Linked DNA regions of Bombyx mori. The protein of the gene in region 2 binds, or shares a complex with, the protein of the main gene of each other region. Links are inferred from orthologs where the notes say so. Each region holds a gene or a part of one and is shown on either strand. Other genes may lie near its edges.

What was found.
Region 1: pre-mRNA-splicing factor syf1 homolog (region 2) and pre-mRNA-processing factor 19 share a complex: the UniProt entries of both Homo sapiens proteins name them as parts of the XAB2 complex. The link is inferred for Bombyx mori from reciprocal best matches to the Homo sapiens genes XAB2 and PRPF19.

The regions. Positions count from the first base shown.
Region 1 is NC_085116.1:17,076,726-17,081,262, forward strand, and holds the start of pre-mRNA-processing factor 19, read left to right. Parts: upstream 1-1,531; 5' UTR 1,532-1,540; coding exon 1,541-1,733; intron 1,734-1,979; coding exon 1,980-2,129; intron 2,130-2,620; coding exon 2,621-2,754; intron 2,755-4,537. UniProt on the Homo sapiens protein: Ubiquitin-protein ligase which is a core component of several complexes mainly involved pre-mRNA splicing and DNA repair. Required for pre-mRNA splicing as component of the spliceosome.
Region 2 is NC_085110.1:13,376,895-13,381,275, forward strand, and holds the start of pre-mRNA-splicing factor syf1 homolog, read right to left. Parts: upstream 2,935-4,381; 5' UTR 2,595-2,934; coding exon 2,556-2,594; intron 2,321-2,555; coding exon 1-2,320. Other genes in the region: zinc finger CCCH domain-containing protein 13, read left to right, coding at 3,904-4,381. UniProt on the Homo sapiens protein: Involved in pre-mRNA splicing as component of the spliceosome. Involved in transcription-coupled repair (TCR), transcription and pre-mRNA splicing.

The DNA.
Region 1 (4,537 bases), on a different chromosome or scaffold from region 2:
CGAGGATAGCCGGCCTTCTATCACCTGGATGCTCTTGCGTAAAACGCGTGCAGAGCAGCTTGTACGTTGTTTTCTTAGACCCCATTCGCCGGGCCCCAGACCGACATATGAGGGGGACCCGAAACACTTAGAGGGCCAGGGATTTGGCCAGATCCGCCTCCCTGGTCCCCGCTCGACGGCGGCGGGCTTGTGCGTCTCTCACGCGCCCCGCCGCCTCCTTCTGCCAGATGGTGCACTCGCAGAAGTCGAGCATCGCCTTCTAAGACTCGTCGTCGCCGAGCATCGATGCCACAACGCTCGGCAACGACAAGTCTTTTCCTATTTTTGCGACGAGGACACGTCGCCACCCCTTCCATGTGGGGCAGGCAACGAGCGTGTGCTCCGCCGTGTCCAAGTCGCAACCACAATGGTGGCAGTCTGCCGTCGGCCCGGCTCCGATCTAGTGCAGGAACTCACCGAAGCAACCATGCCCACTGAGCACCTGCGTGAGCCGGAAAGTGAGGCGTCCTCTGTCACGATCCACCCAATCCACAAGGACCGGACGAATCGCCTCGACGGCCCTACGACCAGCCGAAGGATCAGCCAGCCGTCTGGACCATGACTCCAGCACGGACCGCCGAGATTGGGCCCTTCGCGCTCTGACCACATTGGGGCTGGGACGCGCCACGCCCCGGTTACGAAGGTCAGCCCACCACTGATAGTCAGCGGCGAGCGCCTCCGCTTCCAGAACCCAAGGTGGCGTCCCAGCCAGTACACACGCCGCCTCAAAGGAGATGATGCGATAACCACGGATGAGTGGTATGGAGTGTAGAACTAATCCTCTTTACATTTAGGAGCTTATAAGATGTGTTAAGGATGTCAGCAACTTGAATTAATAAAAAAATTAGCTTTATTGGAAATGGACAACCTAGAATATTGTGGGAAGTTAAAATAATAAACGAAAGCATCAGATAGATTTTTTTTCTTAACAATTTAATATCTGCTAGGGAGCTTAAGTGGCGGAAAATCTAACACAATTGTTGTGTGGATGTTGTATTGTGTTAGATTCTTCTAAATAGTAGTTCTATAAATTCTCAATAAATATCTACTATTTCACGGACAGTTTATTTCATTTTTTACGGTTTGTGTTGGAGTTTGTATATTAAATGTAATGGCAGGCAACACTTGACACTTGATTAGATTTCGAATATTAGAATGATTTTAAATGTTTAAAAAACAGATCATTGTATTCTCCTAAGAAAATGTCATGACTTCTCATCTAGACACGGCAAGACAAACATGTAATAGTTTTGTAAAAAATATAAAGATAATAATTGTATAATGGTGTAAAAGTGTTCAAGCAATCTGCAATATAATTATAATGAAGCAGTTGTGTTTTTAAATAGCCCCTCATCACCTACAGAACCCAATCCCCTCAAATATAACCGTCCAACAGTTTGTCTCATGTCATTTAATTTTATTTTATTTTATTCAACTTCGTTTTGGTCTATTTCACTTTTAAACAGTAGATATGGCTTCAACCTTTTTTACCAAGTGGTGAATGAGCTTCATTCCCATTGCCTGTCTAACGGTCGAATCAAATAAAAAAATATCTATGGCGGTCACAAAACTCAAAAAGCCTAGAGTCGAAAGTTGGAATGGTTTTGTTTGGTTCCATGTAATTTTACGGCTCCGTGCAGAATTTTCAAACCTTTATAGTGATATCATAAGCAAAATGTCTCTCTATTGTGCGAGTAAGTTTTAGTTTAAATTCAGTAAATTGTAAATTAAAGGAGCGAAACGTATAAAGTATGTTTATTTTGAACGGATGCGTACCTGCCGGGCTACTAAAGTTTTTCATCAATTTTAGACAAAAGTTTTGATATTTGTATTTTAGAAGTCATTATTCCATTTCATAGGGTTTATTTCGCTATTTTTATGAATATTACAGTTTTATGAAAATTAACAGTTTATGTGAATAACCTAATTTATTAATTTAGTATCAAATGAAGTTCCCGAAGTACCAGTGGTATCACCTACGTCAGGAGCTGTGTTTGAAAGGAGAATCATTGAGAAGTACATAATAGAAAATGGCGTGGATCCTATTAACGGCAAGGAGTTGAGAGTTGAGGACCTTATTGAGATCAAAAGTGAGGAACCTTTCAATCATAAATGGCTTAAATTCCTCTAAGAGGTTAAGAAGTAATTATTAAATTATATAATAAATTAAACAATATCTTATCTACTTCAATACATAAGATATTAATTTTGACGAGTATGATAGACTCTGTAACATAGTGAGACCGCATAGTGAGACCGAAAACTCTTAAAGTACTTTAAATGTCTGATTAAGTAATGAATAATAAGTACAAGATTGTATTCATTTGTAGTCATCATAGCCCCAAGGCCACACTTTGTGTACTCATATTCAGCAAAGCAGCTAAATTGCAAGATCAAGTTATATACATCATGCAAGAAATAGTCACACAATTTTTTTTAAACAATATAATGTTATGAAGATTAGTGTAATAATGCTATCTTATAATTCATATGAGACAGCAAAACTTCAGCTTAACAAAGCCTAAAACTTGTCTCAATGAAAACTCAAGAGATAGTAATGAATAATTCATTTCTCAAATAGCACCACCTATAGTAAAGCCAAAACCTCCAAGTGCCACATCAATCCCTGCCACACTGAAAAGCATGCAAGATGAGTGGGACGCCCTGATGTTACATGCCTTCACACAGAGACAGCAGTTGCAGACTGCTAGACAAGTTAGTAATGAATATTTTTTAAATGACAAAGCTCATGTGTGTGTTTCAAAGCTGTAGAACAATAAATTATGTTTACCAGTTAAACTATTATGCTTATTGCCTACATATTAATATATTATGTATATGACAGATTGGCTGGTTCCATGGGGTTTTTAAAATGATGATGTCAGCGTTTCTGACACCATTTTCTTCATTGTTATCATTGCCTTCCATAGTGACACTAATTAAGATTCATTTTTCCAATGAATTCCATTTATTTAATTTCAAGTGTACAAGGATAAGAGCAGAGAATTCTGCCTCGTTCAACAGCTTGAGCTGGAATGTTTTGTGCGACAATAATCACTCCTATTTATACTAGAATAGTGCGAGTAGCTTAGTTATGAATTCTCTTGAATACCGTCTTAAACAGTTGTTGATATGTGTAACATTAAGAATATAGTCAACTTCAACTATTTTTAGTTAACTAAACAGTGACGTTGCGCCGACATATATGTTATAATGAATAGAGTACAAAAGCAGGAATTTAATCGAACTGTGATCTTGTCTGTCCAATCAATATAGTAAAAAATACATCCCTATTCATGTGCAATTGCGAATCCTTTATATGTTTGGACATATCATTCGTAATGAAAGCTCATTGGAATGTTTAGTGGTTCAAGGAAAAGTAGACGGCAACGCTCTCGCGGCCGATCATCCACAAGGTGAACAGACTTGATTCATCTACGAAGTGTTTCCTTACTAAATGTACACGTACCACCACAAATAGAGAGAGATGGAGAAGTCTCTCAAAAGCCGCAACCAAACATTAAGACATACGTAACCACGACCACTGTGCCAGAAGTGTACGACTGAGAAGAATTCATTTTTACTTTATTGGTTTAGCTCCTATTATATGTCCGTCATGACTATTGATTGTAGGAGTGGGTGATATAAATCGTATATAGATTCAATATCTATATATCGCAGCAATATCGTTGAATCCGATATCGCCCCGCACGAAATCTATATATCGATATCAGCCGATACACGATATTGCTCGATGTGATGCGCATCGCCATATCGCGATATCGGACCGATTCGTGAATCGAAATCTATATTTCGATATCAGCCGATACACGATATTGCTCGATGTGATGCGCATCGGCATATCGTACCGATTCGTTAATATCAGCAATATTCGTTTGGTTCGTATCGAATCGGCCAGAGTGAGTGAGCGCGCGATAGGGATATCATGTAATGAATGAAACAGAAATAGGCATTATCCATACAATTGTAAACCTTATATTTAAGTCCATATGTCTGTAGATTATTCTTAGCGTATCAGCAGGATACAATTAAGGAAAGAAGTTTCAACTTTCGACCCTAACTTGAATGCAGTATAGCCTATTTGCATCGTTGAATTTAATTTCACGCGCTTTGACCTTGAACTAGAATTTTTGGACAAGTGTTTATAAATACTTAAAAGTTTTTTGTGTTTGATTTTTAAAGTACACATTTTTCTATTTTTAGTTGAATCCAAATAATTGAGTTTATTTCTTGTGTTTGTATTAAACTTTTGAAATCTACACTCTTTTGGTATATTTTGTAATTTTAAATTAAGACACAAAATACTAAAAACTGAAAATAATGTAGCCAGTCCTAAGCCTGGTAAAAGCATGAAGGAAAGTTTTTTTGATATTTTTATTTTCATGTTCTTTTTATTACTTTAAGATCATATTATATATTGATATCAGAAAATCAACCGTATAACGTTGACTTAAATCTATATCTACTACGATATTAT
Region 2 (4,381 bases):
CTCTCACAAATAGAATGTTGCCTTTACTCTGTACTGCCATTTCAGCTGCTTTGGCTTCAAGCATTCTCATTCCATCTTTCATACCTGGTGCTAAATCTGATATAGTACCAGCTGCCTGTGCTGCAGAACTCAACATTTGTGCAGACATCATATTCACCTGTGTATTATATGTGGCTTGCACACTTCTTTTAATTCTTAACATTTCTCTCATTGTATCTTCATTACCATGCCTAACTTCAAATTCTTTCCAAGTGTTCCAAAAATCAGCTGTAATTCTAGGATCACACATTTGACTACAGTGTGCATATATTGCCCGAGCTCTATCAATTTCACCTAGGCGAGTTTCCATTTCTGAGAAGCGAACACACATTTCCCTAGCCTTCTCTTCAGGAAGAGTCTCAATAGCCTTTTCATAAATCTGTCGTGTTTTAGGAACTCCATAAATTTCAGCAGCTTTTTTAATATAAATATTGAACATTTCAAACATTTCTTCAGGTAGAACGGCAGTAGTAGCTCTCTCATATACAGACATTGCATGTCTAGCTAAACCATGCTCTTCTTCCAATTTTGCATATAATAAGAAAATAGACTTTGCAAATTCATTGGGACAATGCTCAAGACATTGCTCAAATAAATCTCTTGCTCTTTCAAGTTTTGAACCACCATATCTTTTTAAAAATTTTGTTAGATATGTATTCCAAATATCATACACATTAGGCCACTTGAATAAGGCAATACCCTTTTCATATGCTCTAAAAGCTTCTTCAAAGTAATTATGCTCTTCTAAAAATAATCCATAATTGATAATAATTTGTGGAGTAGCAATTTTTAAATCTATAATATGATCATACACAGCTTTGCAAGATTTGAATGTACCAAAACTCTCTTCTAAGTCAGCATACATGGACCAAACCTTTAGTGATTTATACAACCTCATTTGCACAGTTTCAGAATCATCATGATATGCTACTTTTCTGCTTGGTAAAACAGTGGCTCTTTGCATTAATTTTAGGGCTTGCTCATAATTTTCATGTCTGATTTCCATTTCAGCCCATTCACACCAAACTGAAGCTAAATCGTCTACTTTAACATATGCTACCTGTGTAGCTTTTTCAAAAATTAATCTGGCATCTTCAATTTGGTCATTGTTTTCATAAAATTTTGCAAATCCAACCCACAGTGTGAAAAGTTTACCAACAGCTAATTTAGGGTCTACAGTTTGCACTGCTTCAGTATATGTATCTATTATTTCATGGGGTTTACCTTCATATAATTTGACTCTTTTATGCCATTCAGCCACATTATGTGGATTTTGTCTAAGTAGAACTGAATTAAGCAGTAACAGCCTTCTTTCCATAAGATACTCAAATCTGGCAAGTCTCAATTCTAAATCAATATCATCATCTTCACTTGGATTAGTTTTCTTGGCAACTTCTTCCATTTTTTTACTAAGACTTAATTCCTCAAATTGTGCATAAGCATCAAATATTTGTGTAAAATCCCTCACTGTAGTCACAGTTTGTATAGCTTCTTCATAAATGTCTCTGGCTCTTTCAAAAAGACCACTTCGAACATAATAGTCTGCAAGAGAGTTCCACAGGTGGCCTAGCTGATCAGTGTAACGTCTTAATCCCCCTCTGATAATAGCGTCGACATTCAGAGAATGAATTTGATCAGGATTCTTTGATATCAATTCACATAATTCATTCCAAAGTTGATGATTTGACTTTCCATGTTTTGATTGAAAATTCTCATTATTAACTAGTTGAGCCAATTTGACTGCAGCTTCATCTAATTTATCTATTGAAGTTAAGTAGTCAATATACTCTTCAGTATCTTCAGGACATAATTTAAGATACCTACGAAACACTCTTACAGCTGTTTCGGGTATATTGTGTTTCTTCAAGAAATTTAAGTAAAGAGGCCATATCCTATGATGTTGAGTTATTGGTAAAGCTCTAAGAGCACTGTCAAACGCTTTCCTTGTTGTAGTTATTTTATACTGATCTGTTAAGAATGAACAGTAATCCATCCATATTCTAGGCATTTTGTGCATAAATACTAAAGACCTTTCAAAGCAATTGTTTACATCTTCATAGCATGGGTCAGCTATACAGCGACCTCTTATTTGTTTTCTTCTTAATTTAAGATAGTTATACCAAAGTTTAAAAGATCCTGGTAATTCTTTTAAAGCTCGTTCATATATCATATTAATTTCATGTTTGGGTGCAGTTTTCTTGTGTTCAATGTACCTAAGCCAATGTTTGACAGAAAATGGATTTCTTAGGATTTCCTCTTCATACGGAAGATCTTCTTCACTCTGTAACAATAACAATTTTATTTGAATTAATATGATAATAATGTTTGATATCAACGTACCAGAAAACCACAAAAGCTTTGGTTAGATTTTTTAAAGCAGTTGATATATTAAGGTTTCTTTGTTAATTGAATTTGGGTTGAAAAAAATATTTGTTGATTGTATTTTCATATGTCGGCAAAAGTAAATATGTATGCACACTAAGCATTGTAAATTATAAAAATATTTTTGAACTTACGAAGAATATGTCGATTTCTTTTCCGTCTAGAAGAGGCATTCTAAAGCTTTCGAATATGTACCGTAGGTACTATAAATTCAATTCAAACAGTTGAGTAATTGAATAATTAGCTTAATTCTATTTCTTTAGAACACACTCAAATATATTATGTGTATAATCTATGGAACACACTTCAGTGTTTAATCTATGACACACAATATCATAGATTGTACCTTATTTTTTTAAGAGATTTTATGACCTGGTAACTAAGACCTTTAGGTCATGTTTTATTTTAATTTATATTTTAATTTTTATGAAAAATCATAATATGGAGTGAAATGAAATGAGATGAGATGATGTGAGATGAAATATAATCTAAGTAAAATGGTGGTCATTTACTGAGAATTTTGATTCAGTGGACTTTTTGGAGAATCCCGAAAAGTTACGTCCAGTGGCTTTGTTTCATTTTCCCACTTTTGTGCACTTTCACAGATATTAAACAGTTAATAAACCACCGTTATTACACATTTAAACTTGAAGAAACACTAAGTAAACAAAATAAAACAAATCACACAATTTCACTCCTCGCGTTCCTGCCAAAAATCCGATTATAGATTAAAGAACGGAATAGATCCGATTATACCATAAATTTTAAGTATCTATAGATTATACACACTTGTGAGATAACTAATTTAAGTATTAGTTTGTGCGGCTTAATAATGTAACTGATCAAAATTAATTAATCTGAGCGATGAAAATAAAGATATCTAGTAAGGGGGGGCCCAACTTAAGGGAGATCATTTGTTTAATTAATTATAAATAATTAAAAGACGAACAAACAATTTTTACATTCGAAAATTAACGAACAAACGACGAACAAATAATTAAAAATAAAAAAAATCCAAAAATCAAAAAACGAGGGGCCAAATTTAGTGAGCCCTACCTATCTACTCCACGTGTAAAAGCGCTTCTGCTTTTGCCTTGGGCCTTGTAAGCTATCATAGATAATACGCTTATTATTTGAGTTTGAGATGTAAGCTGATTGTAACTTGTAAGCTATGTTAGGAATTATGGCCATCCATTGCCGTACTGCATGCAAACGTGTTGTTAAACAAAGATTTAAGTAAATATTAATTTATGTAACGAGAACTACATTCCGCTTGCCTACTAAGAGAAACTAGTAGAAAAAAATCGCTCCAAATAATAGCGTTTGTCATAGATAATAGACCATAAATAAATGTTTGTACAATTCCTTTTTGTAAAAAATATAAAACCTTTAATTTACTTGACTTCACCGTGCCGGTTAGAGAAGATTATTTTTTAGTTCTTTTTTTTTAGTTTAATGTGATACAAATGTATTTCTACTATAATGTCAAAACAAGGAAAAAGAAAAATATCTGTTGAATTGCCGAAAACGAAAGATCTCTCTATTAGACCTAGTGTGTTTGATCGGCTCGGTACTAAGAAATCATCAAGTGCTAAAAAAACAACTGAACATTGTAGACAGTGGGCCCAACACGGCAGCTGTGCTTACGGCAAAAGTTGTAAATTTGCTTCTACGCATACTCTTATCAGTCCTTCTAAACAACGCGCAGCTCATAAAGACAATGATCAGAAACGTTTAGTGAAGGATGATGGGAAGACTAGATTGCATTCTACTGTTATAGTGCGGTCAGGTCAAAGCCCCGAAGGAGAAATCGATAACTGGGACCAAAATGACTTAGAGTATGCAGACACAGATGTCCTCGAAAAACGAAGACAGCAGTTGCAGCGTGAACTAGAATTACAGATGAAAATGGATTCAAACAAAGACATGCGAAAAGATAAAAAAAAAGTCGTGTCCAGTA